Linked DNA regions of Coturnix japonica. The main gene of each other region encodes a partner of the protein of the gene in region 3 in a complex. Links are inferred from orthologs where the notes say so. Each region holds a gene or a part of one and is shown on either strand. Other genes may lie near its edges. The genes, in order: GRM4, RGS10 and GNAI3.

Region 1 (3,643 bases), about 2.7 Mb from region 3:
GGCTTGCTAAGGGATTTTCTAGCTGAGGCAAAGCTTAAGGTGTGAGTGCAAACTCAGGTGCTCTGAGCAGAGCCAGCACTTCAGGACACATGCAAAGGCCACAGCAAAAGCAAGCCAACCCCAGCCCTCCTGCAATAGGTGCTTCCAAAAGGCACTGCTTCAGCAGCTCGGCATCAATGGGGACACACTCGGGATAATTACCCTAATTGTGATGGATCCAGAAGGGGAATCCAAGTGGCAGTCACCCTGGGGATGTTGATGCCAGGGATTTGTAGGGAATAGCAGCAGCGAGGTTTATTTGTCGCAGGGCTGGCAGGCGTGAGCTGCTGGTGTGTAACACAAACGCGATTCCCATTCTGTCTGGCAAGCAAAGGGGATTTTTTTTCCTCATTCATGAGATTTTTTCCCTTTGTTTTCACTTGAGCACGGGTTTCATCCAGGCTGGTAGCTCACGCTCTGCCCCCAGCACAGGGAGGGAGGCAGGTGGATGGGGAGGGGGGTTGCAGCAGACCCAGTGCTCACATCACCCATCCTGTCCCCATGCACAGTGCTGCAAAGAGGCACTCAGAGCTCCAGCAGGGCCACACGTCCCATCACAGCTTGTGTGATTCGCAGCCACGCTGAGGAATCTGCCGTCAGCATCTTGTTGCCAAACAAATGGGTGTTAATTAAAATCGCAGCAAGGTGGTAATGGAGCGAGAAGGCGCAAGGTGCCGTGTGCCCCGCTGCAGTGCTGAGGGTTCTGCTCCTCCCTGCCCTCACCTCCAGCTGCTCCCAGCTCTGGGGGATTTCAGAGAGCACTGATTTGGCACAGGAGGAAGGACAGGTAGTGCTCAGGGTTATTTTTCCTTGGTGCTAATGACACCAGGGTCTGGGTCTGCCCCCCAGCCCACAGCTGCCCCATGGGCCCATCCTCCCCACCCAGCAGCAGACAGTCCCCATCAGCCTTGTTCATACAGGGGCAATGGGGGACTACAGCATGCAGAAAAAGGGGTGAGGGGTAATAAGACGAGGCTCCCAGTGGAGCAAGAGGCTTCAAATCAACACTTCCTACCACTACCACGATATCCAAGCCAACAAAACCACATCCTGATGGGTCCCTTTCAACTCAACATATCCTATGGTTCGTAAGAAAGCATCCCTCCTTGCTCAGCCCCTTCCTGGCAGCCCACAGGTCCACCACCACCTTACCTTCTCTGCTGACTGCGACGTCCCAAAAAATATAGGGATGAAGGCTAACCACACAATGCAAGTAGTGTACATGGTGAACCCGATGGGTTTGGCTTCGTTAAAGGTCTCTGGGACCCCACGGGTCTTAATAGCATACACAGTGCAGGTGACCATGAGAAGCATGCTGTACCCAAGCAAACAGATGAGGGAGAGGTCCGAAATGTCACATTTGAGGATGCCCCGGGCAAAGTGGGGGTTTGTAGTCCGCTGGTCCTCGTAGTCAATGACAGAGTGGGACGGGTCCACGATGAACCAGATGCAGACGCCCACGAGCTGCAGCGAGATGAGGCTGAAGGTGATGACCAGCTGGGAAGCGGGGCTGATGAACCGCGGGGCACTCACCGACTTCTTGCCCTGCTCGAAGATGCGGTAGATGCGGTTGGTTTTGGTGAGCAGCGCAGCGTAGCTGATGCTCATGCCGAGCCCAAGGAAGATGCGTCGCAAGGAGCAGGTGCTCAGATCAGGCTCGGCGATCATGAGGAAGGTGGTGGCGTAGCAGAGGAAGATGCCCGTCAGCAGGACATAGCTGAGCTCCCTCCCCGAGGCCTTGACGATGGGCGTATCGTTGTAGCGCACGAAGGTGACCACCACGAAGAGGGTGGCGATGATGCCCACGATGGCAATGAAGACGGGAACCACAGCCCATGGGGAGCTCCACTCCAACTTGATAATGGGGATGGGGGGGCAGCTGGTGCGGTTCTCGTTGGGCCGCTCGTTGAAGTGGCACCGCTTGCAGTGGAACTCATCCAGTTGGTACTGGTATCCGTCGCAGCGCTCGCAGTGCCAGCAGCAGGGGATCCCCTTCACCAGCTTCTTTCTCTCACCTGGCTTGCAGGGCAGGCTGCAGATGGAGCTGGGGAGTTGGCTCCCACCCCCTGGCCACAGCATGTTCTCCACCTGTGGGGCGAGATGGCATCAGGACAACTGATCATGTCACATCATAGAATGGTTGGGTTGGAAGGGTCCTTAAAGCCCATCCAGTCCCAACCCCTGCTATGGGCTTATCGCCCCTCAACAGAACAGTCTGCCCCATCCATTGCCTCAGGCATCTCCAGGGATAGGGAACCACAGCTCACCCTGTGCCAGGGTCAAACCACCTTCTGAGTAAAGAACTTCCTCCTAACATCTAACCTGAATCATCTTCTTTTCGTTTAAAACCATTCCCACTTGTCCTATCGCTATCAGACAACCTGAAAAGTTGATCTACGTCTTGTTCATAGGCTCCCTTTAGGACTGGAAAGCCACAATAAGGTCTCCCCAGAGCCTCCCCTATTCCATGCTCCCTTGACCTTTCTTCATTTAAGAGGTGCTCTAGCTGATGCTTGAGCCAGACACCTGCTGACGTGTCTGGCTCAAGACACTTTGCATCCACACACCCCTTGAGCCTCAGCTGCTGCATGATGATCCCCTGCCTTACCTTCAGGTGGAGGTGGTCGGTCCATTGCCCAATGACTTTGTACTCAGGAGTGGAGTTCCTGATCTGGTATTGATAGATGTCGTAACGTCCTGGTGCGTCTCCGTTCTCATTGAAGGTCACTGGAGTCCCAGCAATGCCTACAGGAGAGGGACTGCTCAGCACCCAGAGCTCCCCACAGCACAGGGTGCCATGAGTGATGGCATCCAAGGGTTTGGTGTTCCACCCCACGTGGTCAGTGCCAGCTGGGGCTCAGGGTGGGTGCTTAGGGAAAAAAAAAAGGAATGAAGGAAAAAAGGAAAATAGGAGAAAAGGGAGGAGAAAAGGAGGATAAAAGAGGGAAGAAAAGAGAGAAGAGGGAAAAGAAGAGGAAGAGAGAGAAGTGGGGATGAAAGGAAAGAAAAGGAGGAACGAAAGGGGAGAAAAGAAAGAAAGGAAATCATTCCTGAGCCTGAGCTGATGCAAGGACCACATGGGGAGCCACAGATCAGCCCAGCAGACCCACCAAGAGCTGGAATTTATTGGTAGTGCCAGGCAAGGAGTGCTGTTATGATGGCCATTTTAGCACTTCTTTTAAGAAAAACTGAGAAATAGATTTAATGTTAAGTCAATTGATAACACCAGTAAAGGGAGGGAAGAGAAAAACCAAGCAAGAGGGAGAAATAAATAGGAGACATTGCAGAGGAGATCACAGAGAGGAGATAAATAGAAACAATCAGGAGGACAAGACAGAAAATGTTTATTAAAGAGGAGGAGCAGAGGAAAAGATGCGTTTCCAGAGATCTGAGGACAGACAAGGGCACAGCAGCGTGATGCGGTGGGACCTCTGCCAGCAGCAATGCAAGGCAGCCAGTTATGGGTGCTGTGTCACCTATGACAGGGGACACCCAGCAAGCAGGACGGGCTCCCCAGAGCCCCAGACCTGAGAAGTTGACGTTGCGGATGTACTTGAGCAGCTCCACACCATCCACCGGGTCCATCCTGGGGCACAGTCCCACC
Region 2 (3,743 bases), on a different chromosome or scaffold from region 3:
GCATGTGGTTCTGCACAGCTCCATCCCAGGGATACAAAGTACATCACATTCAAGGCTGGCGATGCCAAAAAGCTGTTTGCTGGCTACGCATCAGAAGACCAATTACTTGGGAAGAGTCCAGGAATTCTACTGCTGATCTGAAGAACTCTAAGATACACACAAAGAGCTCGGCCTTCTCTCCCCTTACACTCAGTGTCTGCTGAAGGCAGCAGAAGCGCAGGCCACGAATCAGGCACTATTCAGGGTCCCTACGCATTGAACAGACACATAAAGCTCCCCCAGTAACCAGTACAGCTGCCATTTGTTTTCATAACCCCTTTATTTCTCCCTCCTGGCTTACTGGAAATAAAGATCTTACTTACTTCCGCTTATGTTCTCTTCCTCCACCCCGAATCAAAACCTCAGCAAGTATCTCCAAGAGCCATCTTTGCAGTGCTATACTATCAGATACCCTTTTCAGCTGGTAGCTGTGTTTAAAACCCTACAAAATACCAGCAGTGCAGCACAGAGAGCTGGACAATCTCCTCCCAACAGTGAGAAGGACTGTTTGCAGCGAAGGAAAACCTCCCATTTCTATTGATAGGATTCCAGATGACAGCTTTCCTCTGGCTGCTCTCCCTCTGTTCTCATCTGACCAAGGCAACTCTATTTCCCTCCAACCACCAACAATTTCACCCCCAGCACATACAGCACAACCTGGAGGTTTTATTACACCCCATCAAATGGAGCCCTAATACAGCAGCACAGCCCAATTGGGATCGTTACTCCATGGATGAGTTTCATTTACAAATGTAATGCCTAATTTCTATTATTACTTAGAGGCAGGTTTTCCCCACAGTAACCCTCATGTTCTTAAGACTAAATTCCCTTAAATACCTCCTCTGAAGGGCAGTTATACAGATAACCTTCAGTTACCATCACCTGCTGATAATCTGCCCTGCACAGCAGCCAGCGGCCGTACCAGCACAGCAGGCGATAAAGTGCTTCTCTTAACCTCCTCTCTTTAAGCAGCAGCCCATGCTGAGCCAGCCAACGGGCACTGAGCTGCACAGCTGCACCGGGGGAGAATCTGCCAGCAGCTTTACCCTGTCACACAACAATATTGCCACACTGAGCTGCGGATAAAGGCTCATTGTAAGGGGCAGATGTAGCGCCAAGCGCAGTGCCAACAACACTGCAACGGGCAGCTGGAACACAGCATCCCAAACGGCCAACAGCTGCACCCAGCAAACGCAGGCATTGAAAATACACAACGAGCAGAATTCACAGCTCTGGCACTCAGCAACCAAACACGTGCAAACCCAACCTGATGGAGATTGATAGAGATACAGCAGATGGAGCTGGGCACTGCCCTGCATAAGGACCGTGCGCTGTGACAGCTCCCACCTGCAGCTGCAATGGGCGCCGTGCGGGGCTCACAGCAGCTCATACGGCAGCAAGAGAAGGTTTCGAGGTGTTGAATAGTCTCATAGAACTGTACGCACCACACGTGCTCCTCCCCGTCCGCCTGGATGCTTCACAAAGCTGCGAATTTCGTTGTTAATTACAATCTCCCAGCACCGCGTCTCGTCCTGCGGTCAGGGCAGCACTAGGAGCTGCAGCCGGCAGCCTGGAGTTAATAACGCCGGGTTATGAAACGGGAAAGCCCGCGGCAGAGCCGAGCTGCTCCGAGCCGGACGGGTCCTACAGCACGGCACGGCGAGGCCCAACGTCCTCTTTCTGCCGCCGGATTCTACTTATAACTCTAAGGCAGGAAGCTGGGGGGACGTTCTGCTCCTGGAGCATCTCTGTGCTCGCTCTCCTGTCGCGTTCGGCTTTTCTTAGCGACACGGCGGCGTCGTTCCCCGGCGGGATCTTCCCTTGGTGGCTTCCACCCCCGCAGCTCGGCGGCTCACAGCCCGCCCTGCTCACGGGCTCGCAGCGTTCTACAGGCGGAGCATCCGGAGCCGTGGCGCTCCCTCACCGGGCTCCGACAGAACCATGAGCCCGTTCCCTCCCTCCCGTTCCTCACAGCACCCACCGGCGGGAAGCTCCGGCCCCGCCCGCCCTCCCTCTCTTTCCGCCTGTCAGTGCCGGTTCGGATCAGCCCCGCGCGGCTCCTCGCGCTCTCCCCGCTCATTACCTGACGGCGGCCGCTTCCTGCTGAGCCGGCTCACAGCCCGGTTGAACATCTCTCGTGGCGGCCGGGCGGCCCCGCGCTGCACGGAGCTCAGGGGGCGGCCCCGCCTGCCCCGCCCCGACCGCCGCCTCATGACGGAGCCGCCTCCCGCCTCCCGCGCTGAGGGCCCGGAGCGGGTCACCACACAGCTCCACCTCAGCGCATCAAACGCGGCTGTGCCAGCACGGGATGCACAATTTAAGTACGTTTAAATCAATGAAAACATGCCGTGTGATTATAGTTTACGTTCAGCTTTTATTTCTGCTTTCAACACCACGTTCACATAGGAAAGTTCACTTAAAACTGAACGTAAAAGCTCTTAAGCGTCTTCAAGCCCCTATCTCAGCTACGACACAATTAGACTGCAGTAAAGGTGTATTTCTGATGTAAACACTGGAGAACCAGGCCCACACAGTGAAAACAAGCACATCCTTCTTGTGAGGGAAGCAGCATAGAACAGGCCTGAAGTGAAGACAGTGGAAAATGCTTCAGACATGGCCACATGAATCAGGAGCAAAAAGGGGAATTTGTTTATCCAGCATCACTCATCTCCACCTTGGAAAAATGCCCTGATTCACTGCCCTGTTGGTGCTGCTTTTTAAAATATAATTAGGGCTGATAGCGGGGAGGGATAAAGACACTGAGATGTGGTGAGTTTTATCCAGTCCAAACCTGGAGACTGAAGGGAAGAAAAAAAACAAAGGAGAATTAACACATTTTTAAAATCACTCTGCAAATATCAGAACAAGTATAGGAATAAGAAACCAAAAGACTCACAACAGGGGGGACCACCATCATCTTGCACAGATATAAGGGACATTGAAAGGGATTACCTGCTACGAACCAGGTGGCAGCACAGCACGGAAGGTGAGCACATCTCTGTCCACTAGAAGCACATCTAATTAAAAACACAGCAAAGACTGAGCATGAAAATGAGACACACAGCTTTAGCAGTAACTGAATCACAGCTCACAGCTTAAGCACAACTTAAGGACGGTGGTGGATGCATATTCACGTATGTACAGGTCAGCTTTATACTCCACAGAACACAAGTTTTGCACTTAAAGCCAATAGTCACGCTCTAATGCTTCCAGCAGGGCTGCACAACAGTGATCCCTTGTGGTAGCTGTGGCATATAGTAGCTCTAAGAGGCCAATTCTTTCTTCCAGACCTAGAACACGAAGCATCCTCGTGCTTCCAGGTTCAAGTAACACTCAAATAGAAAAGGTTCTTTAGAGGCACCCTGCAAACCTGAAAGGTCATTTCAATAACTAAGTAGTTAGTCCCCACCCTGTCATGACCCAAATCCAAACTGGAAGACTTGAATGAAGCAATAAGTTGTCTCAGCTGCTCTTTCTCATCACGTTCAATGATCCATCATTAAAGGACATAACTCATTTGTGGAATGAAGTATCTCCCTCATTGAATGGGCAATGCAAAGAGCATTCATCATGGAACAGTACCTCTACCTGCCTGCTTACTGGGGTCAAAGATCCAGCTCCTCAAATAGAGGATGGCAGCTTCTCATTATAAGCCACGATATTTCAACTGCAAGTTGGCTCTCGTAAGTCAACTTTCATCTCAG
Region 3 (3,743 bases):
TGCCCACCACCACATCCAGGTTCGCTGGATACAATAAAAGCCGCTGCACCCCACACTGCCTGCAGCCCTTCTGCAGCCTCCTCCACCACCAGGCTTCCTCTGTACGCTGAGGTTGCAACACTGCTTCCCCACCTCGCACCCTCATGTTTACAGAGCCAGCTACTTCCCATGCTCTGACGCCATCTGGTAAACACAAGCTTGCAAGAAGGGTGGATTCGGTTCACTTGTTTTCTTTTCTTTACGCCCTGAAATGAGGCTCTGGGAACAGAGCACTGACTGAAAGCCCACAGCACGACTTGTGTCTGCCCTGCTGCTGCTCTGAGCCTCCCCAGCTCCTGGCTCAGTAGCTGTGGGGATCCACGGCTCCGTCCCCATTGGCATCACCCCATCCATCTCACTGCAGCACTGCTCTGCAGCGTGTGCTTCCAACCCTGAGACCTCAGCCCTGCAGGGGAGCAGGAGATAAAGCACCCTTAGGAGTACCATGTACCCACAGCATCACCCACACTATCACCACAGGAAGGGCTGCAGTGTGTCAGTGAGGAAGCTGAGGCTGTAACAGCAGAGATGAAGCGCTCAGGGCTGCGTGCTGGGCAGCAGCTCAGCTGACTGCTCGCTCTGTGCATTAGCAAGGCCGGGTGCTGCAGCAGCAGCCAGCTCCTCACTGCACTCTGCAGCATTTCCTAACAGCCCTGTCTTTCTATTCAATCTGTTCTCTCATTTTCAGCTCTTTCCTCTCCCTTTGAACCTGAAGCTGCTTTCCTGCAAGCATCTCAGAAACGCTCCCCCTGCCAGCTCACCTCCCTTGATCTAAACTCAACATCCTCTGCTGAGCTGTTACAGTTTCAGAAGCGCTCTTGCTTATTGTCGAGCTGCATTGTGCTCTGTGCAGACAGAGCCTGCAGGGAGCCGAGCTGTGACTCATCTCAAGGTTCTTATAAAGCATTTCCAAACTCATTTCTCAGAGGCTTCAAACTTGGCCAGACCACGCAGAGCCACCAGGAAGCACAACCGACCCCACAGCCACCCTTCCTCCTGGGTTTACAAAGCAATGAACACGCAGCTTTCCCCACACAGAAGCAACAGCTGTTTGATAGGGACAGGAACCAAAGGAGCAGCTGCCCTCCTCACATTGGTTATCACAGCACTCACAGCCAAGCAGAGGGCAGCTCCTGCCTGCCCACCCCACCACCAGAAGGGCCCAAGGGGTCTCTTACTACGAGGCAGAGTCGTTCAGCTGGTACTCCCTGGATCTGCTGAAGCAGGCCTGCACTCCAGCATCCCTCCACAGCCTCTTGATCACTCCAGCCAGCTCGGCCGTCATCACCCCTTCCTCTGCACTTCCAGCCAACACAAACAGCTGGCGGGCATCGTCCTGCAGGGACAGGAGGGGGGGTTAAGAAAGGAAATCAAGTTTACAAGCTTAAGGATCACTGCAATAGCTGAGAGGTGAGGGAGCCTCATTTCCTAATGGAGCATTTCATCACGAGGCAGCACATAGAGGGATCAGGATGCTGCTGTGAGCCTCAGTGTGACAGCCCACACCTCCATAGGCTCGCAAGCAATGTGTAGATATGGCAAACAGAGCACAGGGACCAGCCAAAGCTGCTCAATGCTCTGCTTCTATAACACGAGGTGGCTCAGGGACACCTCAGGTTTGTGGTTAATGTTGAGCACTTACATTGCAGACAATGAGGGGTCTCCTGTCAATGCAGACACAGCCCCAATCTCCAGCTCTCATTAACACCATTCAAAGCACAAACACAGAGGGAGATCAATGAAGTACTTACAGCTCTGGCCACCTCTCCAAAGTCAATCTTTAGCCTTCCCATGGCTCTTATGATAGCAATGATGGACTGGATCGTATTGCTGTACACCACCACTTTATACTGCTTGCATTCCTCCTCCGAGTAACCATCCTCATGGATAATCCTAAAGAAAACCGAGCTGTCATTGCTAAACCAAACCAGACCGGCAGCTCAGCGGCACTTCAACCCCTTCACTTACTTCATCTGCTTCACTATGGTGCTCTTCCCAGACTCCCCAGCACCTAAAAAGGATAAATACAGAAGGAAGACCATCACGATTGAGTCAGCAGGAGGCCTGGCTTGCTTTAAAACACCCCCCACAGGGCAGCACTCCCATGGTGGCCACACCGCACCATACGGTGCGGTGCGGCCACCGTGGGAGCGCTGCCCTGGGGGTTCTGATAGGCCCAAAGCCCACAGGCCCATTGGTTCCAATAGGCCCAAAGCCCACAGGCCCATTGGTTCCAATAGGCCCAAACCCCACAGGCCCATTGGTTCCGATAGGCCCAATGCACTTAGACAGATCCCAAGCGCATCCCCACCCCCGCGGCCTACTAGGCCCAGCCCAGCCCCTGCGGCCTACTAGGCCCAATCCAAAGCCTGCGGCCTACTAGGCCCAAATCAGAGCCTGCGGCCTACTAGGCCCAATCTAAAGCCTGCGGCCTACTAGGCCCAGTTCAGCCCCGCGGCCTACTAGGCCCGGTTTAGGCCTCTCACCCAGCAGTAGTAGTTTCACCTCCTTGGCCGCCTTCTCGCCGTCTTCCCGTAGGTTCCGATCGATCATTTTACTCCTTTCTACCGCCGCTTTATCCTCGGCGCTTAATGTACAGCCCATAACGGCGGCTGGGCGGAGGCCGCCGGGCCTTCAAATGGAACGGAACGAAAAGGGACGGAGCGGAACCGAACCGCGCCTCTCCCTCAGCCGGGGCGGCTCCCACAGGCGGAACCGGATATCCGCCCAGAGCGACCGTTAGCCGCAAAGCACGCCGGGAAGCACCGTCCGACAGGGCATTTCCGCCTCGGTAAAGTGGTGCATGATGGGAGCTGAGAGGGCGGAACTTCCGGTGTTGTGTGGATGTATTATGGGAGTTGTAGTCTTGAGATGATTGCGGGGCCTACACAGCCCCCAACCCAACACATAGCCCCCCAACCCAATGCTGAGCCTCCAACCCAATGCTGAGCCCCCCAACCCAATTCTGAGCCCCCAACCCAATGCTGAGCCCCCAACCCAGTGCTGAGCCCCCAAACCGATGCTGAGCCCCCCAACCCAATGCTGTTCCCCTATCCCAATGCTGTGACCCTAACCTGATGCTGAGCCCCCAACCCACTGCTAAGCCCCCAACCCAATGCTGTGACCCCAACTCGATGCTGAGCCCCCCAACCCAATGCTGTGCCCGCAACCCAATGCTGTGCCCCCAACCCAATGCTGAGCCCCCCAACTCAATGCTGTGCCCCCAACCCAATGCTGTGCCCCCCAACCCAATGCTGAGCCCTCAACCCACTGCTAAGCCCCCAACCCGATGCTGAGCCCCCAACCCCACCGTGGAGCCCACACATTGGGTCCCCCACCCCTCCACCCCCTCCCCACGTCCCGCCCCACATCCACACACCCACACCACTCTTCCCTTCCATCCTTGTTTAACACCCGCAGCCGCACACGCTACAGCCCCGCTCTGCTCACGGTGCCCCCCCCGTCCGCTCCGTCCCTTCGGCCGCTTCATCCCCGATCTGTCCCGGGATGCGAAAATCGACGGGCGCCGGTTCCCGTTTGGGGCTGGGGGTGCCCAGAGGCGGCGGGGGCAGCTCTTGGGGGCAGCCGGTGCCCTGTAGGAACTGCAGGAAGTTCTCCTCGATGGAGCCCTCCCGGCTGGGCAGACGCAGGTCCTCCTCGGGGGGCTGCTTGAAGAAGCAGGTGAGGAGCCGGCCCAGCTCACC

What was found.
Region 1: the proteins of GNAI3 (region 3) and GRM4 are in contact, whole or in part, in a cryo-EM structure (PDB 8JD6), measured with the Homo sapiens proteins. The link is inferred for Coturnix japonica from reciprocal best matches to the Homo sapiens genes GNAI3 and GRM4. Residues at the interface, in NP_006487.1 of Homo sapiens: Ala31, Lys32, Val34, Lys192, Asp193, Leu194, Thr219, Phe336, Thr340, Ile343, Ile344, Asn347, Leu348, Cys351, Gly352, Leu353, Tyr354; in NP_000832.1 of Homo sapiens: Pro616, Lys619, Ala620, Gly622, Arg623, Glu624, Arg676, Ile677, Ile680, Phe681, Gln683, Gly684, Lys685, Arg686, Ser687, Val688, Ser689, Ala690, Ile694, Ser695, Pro696, Phe781.
Region 2: the proteins of GNAI3 (region 3) and RGS10 are in contact, whole or in part, in a crystal structure (PDB 2IHB), measured with the Homo sapiens proteins. The link is inferred for Coturnix japonica from reciprocal best matches to the Homo sapiens genes GNAI3 and RGS10. Residues at the interface, in NP_006487.1 of Homo sapiens: Val71, Val72, Ser75, Glu115, Val179, Lys180, Thr181, Thr182, Gly183, Ile184, Val185, Gln204, Ser206, Glu207, Lys209, Lys210, His213, Ala235, Glu236; in NP_001005339.1 of Homo sapiens: Glu62, Phe63, Ser64, Glu66, Asn67, Ala102, Ser103, Ser104, Gln105, Val106, Asn107, Val108, Glu109, Gly110, Leu137, Lys139, Tyr140, Asp141, Ser142, Arg145.

Annotation. Positions count from the first base shown.
Region 1 is NC_029541.1:4,300,900-4,304,542, reverse strand, and holds part of GRM4 (metabotropic glutamate receptor 4), read right to left. Parts: coding exon 3,567-3,643; intron 2,785-3,566; coding exon 2,648-2,784; intron 2,128-2,647; coding exon 1,192-2,127; intron 1-1,191.
Region 2 is NC_029521.1:26,956,362-26,960,104, forward strand, and holds the start of RGS10 (regulator of G-protein signaling 10), read right to left. Parts: upstream 2,257-3,743; 5' UTR 2,253-2,256; coding exon 2,123-2,252; intron 1-2,122. UniProt on the Homo sapiens protein: Regulates G protein-coupled receptor signaling cascades, including signaling downstream of the muscarinic acetylcholine receptor CHRM2.
Region 3 is NC_029541.1:1,611,747-1,615,489, reverse strand, and holds the start of GNAI3 (guanine nucleotide-binding protein G(i) subunit alpha), read right to left. Parts: upstream 2,780-3,743; 5' UTR 2,644-2,779; coding exon 2,526-2,643; intron 2,051-2,525; coding exon 2,008-2,050; intron 1,933-2,007; coding exon 1,791-1,932; intron 1,376-1,790; coding exon 1,218-1,375; intron 1-1,217. Other genes in the region: GPR61 (G-protein coupled receptor 61), read right to left, coding at 3,486-3,743. UniProt on the Homo sapiens protein: Heterotrimeric guanine nucleotide-binding proteins (G proteins) function as transducers downstream of G protein-coupled receptors (GPCRs) in numerous signaling cascades.